3 linked regions of the Sus scrofa genome follow. The protein of the gene in region 3 binds, or shares a complex with, the protein of the main gene of each other region. Links are inferred from orthologs where the notes say so. Each region holds a gene or a part of one and is shown on either strand. Other genes may lie near its edges.

What was found.
Region 1: the proteins of PTPN22 (region 3) and PSTPIP1 are in contact, whole or in part, in a crystal structure (PDB 7AAM), measured with the Homo sapiens proteins. The link is inferred for Sus scrofa from reciprocal best matches to the Homo sapiens genes PTPN22 and PSTPIP1. Residues at the interface, in NP_057051.4 of Homo sapiens: Ser793, Lys794, Pro795, Gly797, Pro798, Arg799, Asn800, Pro801, Pro802, Trp805, Asn806; in NP_003969.2 of Homo sapiens: Thr225, Arg228, Asn229, Trp232, Asn236, Ser239, Met240, Cys242, Val243, Asp246.
Region 2: the proteins of PTPN22 (region 3) and CSK are in contact, whole or in part, in an NMR structure (PDB 1JEG), measured with the Mus musculus proteins. The link is inferred for Sus scrofa from reciprocal best matches to the Homo sapiens genes PTPN22 and CSK. Residues at the interface, in NP_033005.1 of Mus musculus: Pro614, Pro615, Leu616, Pro617, Glu618, Arg619, Thr620, Glu622, Ser623, Phe624, Ile625, Val626, Val627; in NP_001291690.1 of Mus musculus: Phe20, Thr23, Gln26, Ala40, Val41, Thr42, Lys43, Asp44, Asn46, Trp47, Ile59, Pro61, Asn63, Tyr64.

What each region holds. Positions count from the first base shown.
Region 1 is NC_010449.5:57,143,338-57,145,858, reverse strand, and holds the end of PSTPIP1 (proline-serine-threonine phosphatase-interacting protein 1), read right to left. Parts: intron 2,205-2,521; coding exon 2,149-2,204; intron 1,964-2,148; coding exon 1,830-1,963; intron 927-1,829; coding exon 795-926; 3' UTR 648-794; downstream 1-647. UniProt on the Homo sapiens protein: Involved in regulation of the actin cytoskeleton. May regulate WAS actin-bundling activity. Bridges the interaction between ABL1 and PTPN18 leading to ABL1 dephosphorylation.
Region 2 is NC_010449.5:58,737,985-58,741,631, forward strand, and holds part of CSK (c-src tyrosine kinase), read right to left. Parts: intron 3,584-3,647; 5' UTR 3,519-3,583; coding exon 3,504-3,518; intron 3,153-3,503; coding exon 3,039-3,152; intron 2,929-3,038; coding exon 2,816-2,928; intron 2,434-2,815; coding exon 2,214-2,433; intron 1,432-2,213; coding exon 1,338-1,431; intron 1,127-1,337; coding exon 1,061-1,126; intron 980-1,060; coding exon 880-979; intron 782-879; coding exon 691-781; intron 245-690; coding exon 171-244; intron 65-170; coding exon 1-64. UniProt on the Homo sapiens protein: Non-receptor tyrosine-protein kinase that plays an important role in the regulation of cell growth, differentiation, migration and immune response.
Region 3 is NC_010446.5:106,690,792-106,694,977, reverse strand, and holds the start of PTPN22 (tyrosine-protein phosphatase non-receptor type 22), read right to left. Parts: upstream 2,877-4,186; 5' UTR 2,740-2,876; coding exon 2,653-2,739; intron 1-2,652. UniProt on the Homo sapiens protein: Acts as a negative regulator of T-cell receptor (TCR) signaling by direct dephosphorylation of the Src family kinases LCK and FYN, ITAMs of the TCRz/CD3 complex, as well as ZAP70, VAV, VCP and other key signaling molecules.

The sequences.
Region 1 (2,521 bases), on a different chromosome or scaffold from region 3:
GCCCCTGCTCCCAAGGCCTTTGGTGCTGCTGGAACAGGGCTTTGGCAGGCCTTGGTCAGCAGCAGAAGTTGTTTCTGGGGCCTGGGTCCAAAAAGACAAAGCCCTAAGGAGCATCAAGAACAAAAGAGGAGCCTGACCACCTCTGTGCCCAGGGTCAGCCTGCACGGATGGGCAGCGATGGCTTCCCCAGGCCCAGCTGGGTCTGGAAAACAGTGAGTATCACTTGCATCCACAGGCCTCTAGGCCTCCTGCCCAGACTCTATAATGCCCCTGCACCTCGGCACACCCATCACCTGTTTCCTGCCCCGAACAAAGCTCGGCTCATCCCCAGAATGATCCCCGATGCTCTGCTCTTCCTTGTGTCCCATCTGCTGCTGCCTTGCTCTAGTCCCTCTGACCCCAGGAAGCCCGGTCTCCCCATCGCAGATCCCCCGAGCCCCTCCTCCCTGACCCCTGCCACCTTCCCCCATGGCCCGCTGTGAATGTGTCTCCCTGGCAGTTCCCAGGGTACCGCTCCACTCCCAGCTCACCTGGGACAGAGCCAGGCTGGGGCCTCAGTGATGACACTGCACACGGAAAGCTCTGCTCGCCTGGACTTCTCCCCACCTTTGCTTCCTCCACATTGAGCACTTGGACACGGGAGCAAAGAGGGGGAAAAGCAGTCCTTTATTCCCTGTGGAAAAGACTGCCCAGGAGCGGCCGGCACCCTTCCTGGGAGGGCAGGCTCCGTCTTGACGGGGGCACTGCCGGCCCCATGGGCAGGGCAGGTCCAGATGTGGGCTACTGCCCCTTCCTTAAAGCTTCTCCAGGTACGAGCCAGGGACAAAGCCACGCTGCCCGTTCCGTTGTACCGTCCACCAGCCATCCTCCCCTTCCAGGATGACCTCCAGGATGTCCCCTGCAGTGATGTCCAGCTCATCAGGATTCTGGGCAAGAGAGTGAAAGCACGTCAGCCTGCAGGTGCCCGCTGGGAGGGCCTCTGATCCGGCATTACCCTCAACCTGGGCAGTAAGTGCCAGCCTGTCTCTCAGGTGGGCTGTGAGCTGAGACCTGCTGGCCTCCTGGGGCTGCAAGACCAGGCCATTCTCTGGGCTATGGCAGCCCTTGGAGACGTAGCATGCGGGGTATCCTGTGGGACTCAGCCTCTTGTCCCCTCTGGTTTGTCACTGGGGGCCTCCCACAACCTGGGGCTTCTCTCCTGCTCTACCTCCTGCTGCTCCCTCTCCCTGTCCCCACTGTAGACACAGCAGCCCAGCAAGTCAGGGGCAAGTGTGTTTGCTGTGCCCCCTCCTCCGCTTGCCACTGCAATATAAGCACAGCGTCATTCCCCCGGGCCGCTCAGCCCCAGCAGGTTTGAGGTCCAGCTCTGTACCCCTCACCTTAAAGCGAGGAACAGACTAGACTCTAGGATCTGGGCACAGCTGTCCTGGGGCTTTTTACTCATCCTCCCCTTGTGGGCCTCAGAAGATCAACCCCGGCACAGCTAAGCCTCGCTCTGGCCATGGCTTGTTCTGGCACCCAGGGTCATGGAGAACAAGGGCCTCACGCGTGGGGGCCTAGCCCGAGCCTCACACCACATCCTTAGGCAGCCCCGACTCCGGCAGCCTGCCTGCACATGAGCGTGGGCCCGTGCAATGCCCACGGCTGCCTGGACATGTGTGCGTGACCAGCCCCGGGGCCTCGCGCCATTCAGCACTTTTCACTCGGCAGGTACGGGCTGGGCCCCCTCATAAACACCGGGTGCTGTTCTAAGGGCCTCCGCCCAGCATATTCCCACCGCGGGGCTACCAGCGCCCTCTTAGCGAGGGGACGGAGCGGGGGACGCTCACCTGGGCTGTGTAGTCATAGAGCGCCCTGTAGTCCTGGGCTGGCAGGGTGGGGGGTCCTGGTACCTCCTGCACGTTGATGGCAGCGTAGACACCCTCATTCCGATCGGGGATGGGAGTCAGGGTCTCTGTGGAGGCTGAGAGCAGGGTGAGGCCTGGTGCCCGCCTCTTAGCAAAAAAACAGATCCCTGGAGGCCCCCCGGACGTGAAGCTTCCCCAGACCTGGCTCAGCCTCTGCCCGACCTCAACCGTTGGGGGGTCCATCTGTGCCAAGTAGGCATCCCCCCCTTTCCCCCCGGGTGACAGCTGCCCCCCCAATTACCCGCAGAAGCTGCTGGCGAAGCATTCTTGGGACTTCCGTGCAGTAGCCCGGAGAACCTGGGGACAGAGGAAAAGCAGGTGAGCGCTGGGGGGAGGATGAGGCAGGGGGCCCTCGGGTGATTTATGGGGTGCCCCTCACCAGGAGGGCTCCCCAAAGGGTGGTCCCAGTGGCTTTTCCCTCCCCAGCAGTGCTCTCCGGACCCTCACCCTGTAGACATCTCAGTACCTGCTCCCTGCGGAGCCTCGGGGGCGCCAAGACTTCTGTGCTCCAGCCTCCCCCAAGGGCGAAGGAGCTGCCGTCGGAACTCTGAGCACAGTCGCCAGTGAATAAGTGGGGGGGATTATTTGTTTAATGCCTAGGTCCCCTTGGGCCG
Region 2 (3,647 bases), on a different chromosome or scaffold from region 3:
GGCAGCCAGGTCCCGGTGCACGAAGTTGTTGCCTTCCAGGTATTCCATAGCCTCGCAGACATCTCTAGGAGAGAGCCAGCCACAGGTCCCCTCAGACAGGGGTTCCAGAGCAGGGCTGCTCCCCCACCCCCGCCCCGCCCCGCCCCGCCCCCAGGGGCTGCTTCACTCACAGCGAGAACTTGAGGAGGCAGTCTCCGCCTAGCACCGACCGACCCCGGGATCGCAGATAGTCCACCAGGCTCCCCTGGGGTGGACAGACAGACCAACAGGCCCTATAAGTCAAACCTGCCCGCCAGACCTTGGGAACAGTAGGCCTGGGGCTGGGTAACCGGTGACACTCAGTGGGCAGTGTGAAGAGGAGGTGGACAGGGGAAGGGTCAGGACATCACTTCTGAAGGAATAGCAGACGCTGTGCTCAGCAATTTTCATGCATTATTTCTTAATTCTCATAAATCTCTGAGGTAAACTTTGCTAGTGCCTCTGTTCACAGGTGAGGACCTGAGGCTTGGTCTAAGGTCATAGTGAAAAAATGATGAGCCAAGTTGAGCCTGGGTGACTTCAAAGCTCGGCTGGAGAGAAGGAGCAGGGGCCCAAGGGTGTGTGTGTGGGGGGAGGGGCTTGGGGCAGCTGGAAAGCTCGAGCCCGTGTTCAGCTCCAGGATGGGGGCTGGGTCCCAGGGAAGGCACCCACCTTGGCCATGTACTCTGTGACGATGTAGAGCCCGCCTTTCTCCTCTACGATCACGCCCAGAAGCTGTACCAGGTTGCTATGCCGAAGTTGCCTGGGGCAACATGGGGTGGTCAGAGCCTGCCGAGCCTCCCCATCACCTCCTGGCCCCCGGGGCGACCTCCCTACCCCTTCACCCCCAGTCCAACTCACGTCATAACTGAGGCTTCAGCCAGGAAGGCCTGGGCAGTGGCGTCATTCTTAATGCACTTGACGGCGACTTTGTTCCCTCGGTAGTCGCCAAGCATCACGTCTGGAGAAGAGAGTTAAGGGTTGGCCCTGGATTCCGCACAGTCCCTGGCACCTCTCAGGGCTCCCACCCTTTCTGGCTCACCTCCAAATTCCCCCTTCCCAATGGTCTGCAGCAGCTTCAGGTCCTTCATGTTCAGTGCCCAGCCACCTGGGGGGAGGGGGTGGTCAGTTGAGGGGTGGTGAAGCCAGAGAAGGGGTCACAGCAGAGGCAGACTGGACATAAAGTGGAGGACGGGTCGGGGTGGGGTGAGGGGTTCCCTGGAGGCCTCCAGAGCCTCTGGGATGGAAGTAGTGCCAGGAAGCCTGGGTGGGAGGCGGGTGGGTGGGCCAGTGAGGTCTCGGGGAGGGGTGGCACTCACTGCGAAAGAACTCATCCTGGGCCGCCACGGTGCCCTCCATGAGTTTTGGCTTGATGAGGCGGGTACAGAGTCCATCTGCATCTGAGGTGTAGTGCTGCAGAGGGCAGGGCAGGCGCTCAGGGTCCCCTGTGCAACTCCAATGGCTGCCATGCCCTGTCCTGGTCTGACCACCAGGGGGAAGCAGAGGCCAGTTCCACCCAGCCCTGCAGTTGCTTTGGGTTTGGAGGGCTTTGCGTTTCCAGCAGGGGTGAGGGAGGCCCCAGACACCTGGCCCATGTCACCACACACCGAGGTGCTGAATGGATACTGGGGTTGTTGCTACCACTCTGGGGCCTCACCAGTATCCTGAGGCAGAGGACAAGCCCTGGCTCACTCTAGATATCAGGCTCTAGTGGGCCCAGGTGCCCCCTGTCGCAGGTCAAGCCAGGCCAGCAGAGAAAAGGCGAAGGCGCCCAGTGAGTGCAGGAGGCATGTGAAGGCTGCCTGGGGCACAGATGGCCTTGGAAGATTCAGGGACATGTGGCCCTTCAAGGTGAAGGTCATGAGTATGTGCTTACACACACACACTTGGCATATAGTCTATGAGGAACTGGATGGAAGCTCATTCTGGGGTCAGAAAACTCAGATTCTAGTCCCAGCACCTCTAGTTTACAACCATGTGACCAGAGGTGGGTTCTTTAACTGCTCTGAACCTTTGTTTCCTGACCTATGAACCAGGGTGCCACCTCCCTGTGGTGGGGTCAGAGATCAACCCTGGAACACAGCAGGTGCTCTATCAGGGTGTTGCTCACAGAGGCTGCATGACGTGCCCCAGGCCACCAGTCAGAAGCAGTGGGACTGGAGCTGGAACCTGGGCCAGCCCTTGTGTCTGCTCACCTCCACCAGCTGCATGAGGTTCTCAAAGTACACCTCCTCGTCGATGCTGAGCTTGCTGGCGTGGTACATGATGCGGTAGTGCTCCACCTTGCCGTCGCAGCTCACGCACAGCGTGTAGTCCCCGGGGTAGTTGGTGCTCTCCCGCACCAGGAACAGGCCTGTCTCTGGTGGGCACAGGAGCCGCTCTGCCTGCTCCCTTGTGATCTTGCCATGGAACCAGCTATGGGAAGGCCAGGCCTGGGGTCGTGGTGGCCCGCGGGCACTGTCCCCGGTGCCCCCACCAGCCTCCTCATGCATCTGCCAGGCTCCACTTCCTGGAGGCCCTCTCCCTCCGGGTTCTTCACACGCTTCTGCAGGTGTCAGGCCCTGGGGCCCTCACCCTCTGTCTCTGACTTTCTTTCTTCAGTCCTCCTGGCTCCATCCTCCCCTTCCAGGTCCAGCACCCACGCCCTTCCCCTCGTTGCCGGAAGCCCTCACGGAATCCCAGCCCCTTGCTCTCACCTCCCTGTTCTCCTGACTCTCTTCTGGGGAAACCAGGGCTCCTGGTCCTCTTTCCTCCCCAGCCTGGGGGCCCCCAACCATCGCTCCTCGGAGGTACTCACGGCATGAGGCTGAGTTTGGTGCCTGCCTTCACGCCCTCCCGCTTTTGGACGTAGTTGGCTGGGATGATGCCCTCACGGCCCACCTTGTTCTTGGCTTTGTACCAGTTGGGGTCCTGGGTGGGGAGGAGCCCAGACACGCTCTCAGGCTCACCCACCCTTCCCTGCAGGGCAGCTGGGACCCAGAGGTGGGCGTGGAGTTTGGGGAGCTGAGGTCACTGATTACCTTGGTGACGGCCACAATGGTGAGCACGTCTCCTTTGCAGAAAGGAAGGTCCTGCTCAGCAGTGCCGTGAAAGTTGTACTTGGCAATGCATTCTGTACCGGATGGCCAGGCGGCCTGCAAGGCAGGTGACAGGTGGGCAGTGCAGCCCAGGGCAACCCCGGCCCACCTGCCCGCACACCCTCGAGATCACAGCCTCTTGGCTGGCCTGCAGGAGCCTGGGTGAGGTGCCCTTCCCCCGGAGAGCTCCGGGCATCTTCCAGCTGAGATCTCTCCACTGCCCCAGACCTGTGCTCACATCTTTAGGACCCTGCACGACCAGTGTGCCCTGGAAATCTATTGTGTTGAAAGCCAGGACTGGGGAAAAGGGGAGGGAACTGACCTGAACCCTCACTCTCTCTCCTCTCAGCACCCCCCCGTGGTGGTGGTGGGGACACGCAACTGCCTAGCCCCCCATCCCTGCAGTACCTGTATTGCCGACATCTTCTCAGAAGATCTGGCGTCCCCGTGTCACAGGAAGGCCGACCTATCACTTGGTACCATGAGAGCTGTGGGGAAAGGGGACGATTGGGGTGAGGGTGAGAGGAGATGGGTCCCTCCAAGTCACAGAGA
Region 3 (4,186 bases):
AGCCTGGAGCATTGCATTGCAGAACCAGCATCTAGCATGATGCTTTGCACACAGTGAGCACTCAATAAATATTAGAGTGAATGCGTGAAAACCTTACAGGAGGGGTCAGTGGCAGTTTCAACTACAGAAGGATTATTGAGTTTAAGCTTGGCATGGGGAAAAATGGAAACAGTATGATATTGGCTCTAGCTGTCATAGCAGGGCTATGCGCTCTGCACAAGAGGGAAGTGGGGACAGAAATCAAAGCTAGGGACCCAGCGGGTTGGGGGGGCAGGGTGCACAGAGCATCTACCTGGAAGTGGAGAGGACTTTTGATAATTCCCACAGAGGCAGCCCTCTGCAGGCCTATGTCACAGAATCAGCTCCCAGATCTCAGAAACAGCACATCCTGGGAGAACATGTGAAGAGCTGAAGATGGAATGTGGGACGTGACCTAGTGGAAAGCCTTCCAATTTAAGGGCAGTTATTTACCTTGTCCAAGCAAGCAGCCTGACCCCATTCACACCCCGCACCCCATCAAAGCCACTCTCTGGTATCTCAGCTAAACCTTTAGGTGGGGCTGAGGGAGGGAAAGGCTCTGTTTTTCCACTGGAGGACATGAGTCAGTGAACAGTGAGGTTCCACTTAATCACCACCCAAAAACAAAGTCCTTAAACTCAGAAGCTAGAAGAGTAAGGAAGTGATTAATATAGAAGTCAATTTAGTGGTTATTCCTTGGCCTGGGCAGGACAGGGTGGGGTGAGGGACCAGATGGGGAAGGGTTTTTTTTTAACGGGTCTTCTGGGGTCTGACAGGGTTCTAATTCCTTGACCTGAGTAGTGGTTGCATTATCATTATACTTAAACATGTTGTGTGGACTTTTCTAAATGTGCTACAGTTCACAATTTCAAACAGCTGGGAAAAAAATGCAAACTGTCAAAAGTTTTTGAGCAGGGAAAAAAAACCAAATAACCAGATCTGTAGTCTTAAAAGATCACTTGGGTGTTGAATGGAAAATTGACTGAAGGTGGGGCAAGGCAAGAGGCAGAGAAAACAGGAGGTGAGGTAGCTGCTAGAATTTGGTGAGAGGTTATAATAACTGAGCTGAGAAAAGGTGAAATATTAGGGATGTAGTCTGTATTATTTTCTTTTCTATTTTTTTTTGTCTATATTATTTTCAAAAACACAACCAAAATAAAACAGAAGCTGCCACTGCCCCCTCAGCTCACGATTCACCTCTCTGCATTGGGTGAATCTGGCTCCAGCTATAGTCCAGTTATAGTCCAGGAGCAGATACATGTCTAACAGACACAGAGGCCAGGATTTCTGTCTTCCCTCCATCCCTGCTAACTCTACTCAAAGAGACTCAGATGCCTGGCCAGCGGCAGTTAGAGTGCAATTTTTCATGACACCACAATATAATCCAAGTTGAGCTGACACAGTGGTTTCTATCATAATAGGCAATAACTCAGTGATAAGAACCTAATCACTCGAGAACATTTACAAAGTGGTTTCACATCTATCTGCGAAATGTTAACTCCACGGGGGCAAAGGTTTTTGTTTTGTTCACTACCATATCCTCAGTGCCTAGAACTGAACTTGGTACACAGCAGGTGCTCATTAAGTGTTACTGAATGAACAGCCACATTTAAGCATTATTGTTGTGGATATTGAGACATCACAATAATCCTGTGCAGAGAGGCAGGGCCTGACTTATCCCCACTGCGGAAGTTAGAAAATAGAGACCAGGTGAGATCAAGGCACATTTCAAATAGTTGATCATTTGCTTGAGGACAGAATCATGATTTAATTTCAGATTTTACACTTAAACTCTCTTATTTTTCCCATTTCTTCACAGCTGAAAAGGTACAGTTTGAAGTCCCTACAGCTTCGAATCATCAGCTGGAAGTATTCCAAAATGCATGGTAGGTACCCTCAGATATCCTGTGTCCCCGGGCGAGCTGGCTCATTGAATGAATGAGGCCTGCTCAGCTGCCACTGCGTCAATAACCAGTTCCCCCGCAGGAGATGCCGTGTTCCCCTGGGTAATCAAACCCAGGTGATCCCAGGCTCCCTTGTGCTTATGTTTCTCACCATGTCCCTCACTTTTCTCTGCTCCCTGTCCTACCCCAGCCAGCAAAAGAAGGTTAAGGAAACCCTGTTATTGCCCAAAGACACGACAAAAAATAAACGTGGCTTGGTGCTCTTCAAAAGCCTCTGTCATCCAAATGGAACCCCACAGGAGGCCAAAAGGGTAATGCTCCATGAAAAGGGAACCTTGCTCTGGTTCCTCTTGATATGCATGAAAATGAGTCCTTTGAAACATAAACCTAGAACTCAGATACCTGGGAACTCCAGATGTTCAATGAATATTAGGTTTGTACCCCTGGAATGATGCAGGTCTTTTGGAGGATTCCCAGTCAACCTCCAAGAACTAGCACACAAAATATTCCAAACTATGTTTTGCTAAGAAAGCTAAGCTATCAGGCATGGTAGAGGACACCCGAAGGACACACACGCCACTTAGAGAAGTCACACTTTTAGGATGCCTTCTTCCCCCAAAGGTCTGATATGCACTTGATCACAAGAGCAATTTGGTCTAAAAGAATTGGACCATTGCAAGCAGTTAAACATCTATGTCACTAGCCCGACCGGGTCACATATAGGACTTACCAGAAATTCACTGGCAAACTCCTTTTTGTTATTTTTCTTGTTTTGGGCCTCATCCAGGAACTTCTGTAGGACTTCTCTTTGGTCCATGCTGCAGGGCAAGAGAGACCGTCTCTGAGCGGTTTAAAGGAGGGCATGTCAAATGTGTGTCATGGCCGAGACAGCACTGAGAAGCCACCGCTGCTGCCTGAGCAGAGCATGTTGAAGGCTGTGGTTTACTGACTTCATCACAAGCCCCAGAGGAAATTAGTGCGTAACCAGCCCTCTGTGGTCACACAACAAAGCCAGCACCTCACTCCTGGGCCCTAGTGCCTTCCTTCCCAAGAGAAGAACCTGATTACAAGTCAGGTTTGTAATACACAGGAGGCCAAGCAGAACATAGCTCCGAGTCTATTCTCCTCCATTGCCCTGAAGCCAAAGTCATTGTTTTTCTTGCTTCCTAGAGAAAAGGCAGAATTACAGGTCCCCATGGATGGATGGTCTCTTCCTAGTTCCCCAATGAGCACAAAGACCCTTTGATGCTTCTGATTCCTTGAGGCCCAGATGAACTCTATAAGGTTCATTTAACCGCAGAAGAGAGACAGACCCTGGAGTCTTCTCAGAAGTTTCTTGTCAGTGTGATCCTAGCAAACTTCTCTGCATCAGAGAAGGCAGTTTTCTTCAGAAAGTTTAAGTCTGCCATAGAGATCTCAACCTCTCCTTTGTGTGAAGCAAAGTCGGCTGCTTCTGACAGTCCACGTCTCTCCCAGGGCTGGGGAAGTGCTCACGTCCAGTAAGGGAAGTGCCGTTGAGTTCAGAACCCACCCCAGCCCTCCAGGACTTCTTGAGCTTCTTTGGGTTCTGGGTATAAAGACTGAGGGCACTGGTCTGTAAAGGATCCAGGAGCACAGTGGCCCCCAGAAGGAGCTCCTGACCGGGAAGATGGCACAAAACCCATGAATGTGGAGTTCCTGTGTGGCACAGTAGAAATAATTCCGACTAGGAACCATGAGGTTCCGGGTTTGATCCCTGGCCTCACTCAGTGGGTTAAGGATCCGGCATGGCCATGAGCTGTTTACGTTGCAGACATGGCGCTGCTGTGGCTGTGGTGTAGGCCGGCAGTTGCAGCTCCGATTCAACCCCTAGCCTGGGAACCTCCATATGCTGCGAGTGTGGCCCTAAAAGGCGGGAAAAAAAAAATCCCCTGAATGTCATGCTAGTAAAATATGAAGGAAGAGGAAAAAGAGTAAAAATCAACCACCCTGCCGGGAACAGTGCAAATTTCAAGGCTGAAAGCCCGAACAACTATCTCTAGAGAAGACACGTGTACTCTGCAGTCAATGCGGGAAGGCCACTGTTTCAGGAAGCCACGCTGTGCATGTCGCATTTGGCCCCTAATGGGGCCTTTCTGTTCTAGAAAAAGCTTCCATAGCTCAGCTTGCATAAATTCTCTCCTCAATGGGTACAGACCTACCCAAGAGTATCTCATTTGGTAACAGAACAAAATAAAAACCAGCATAACATATCTGTTTGAGGACAGAAATTCAACTAATAATAT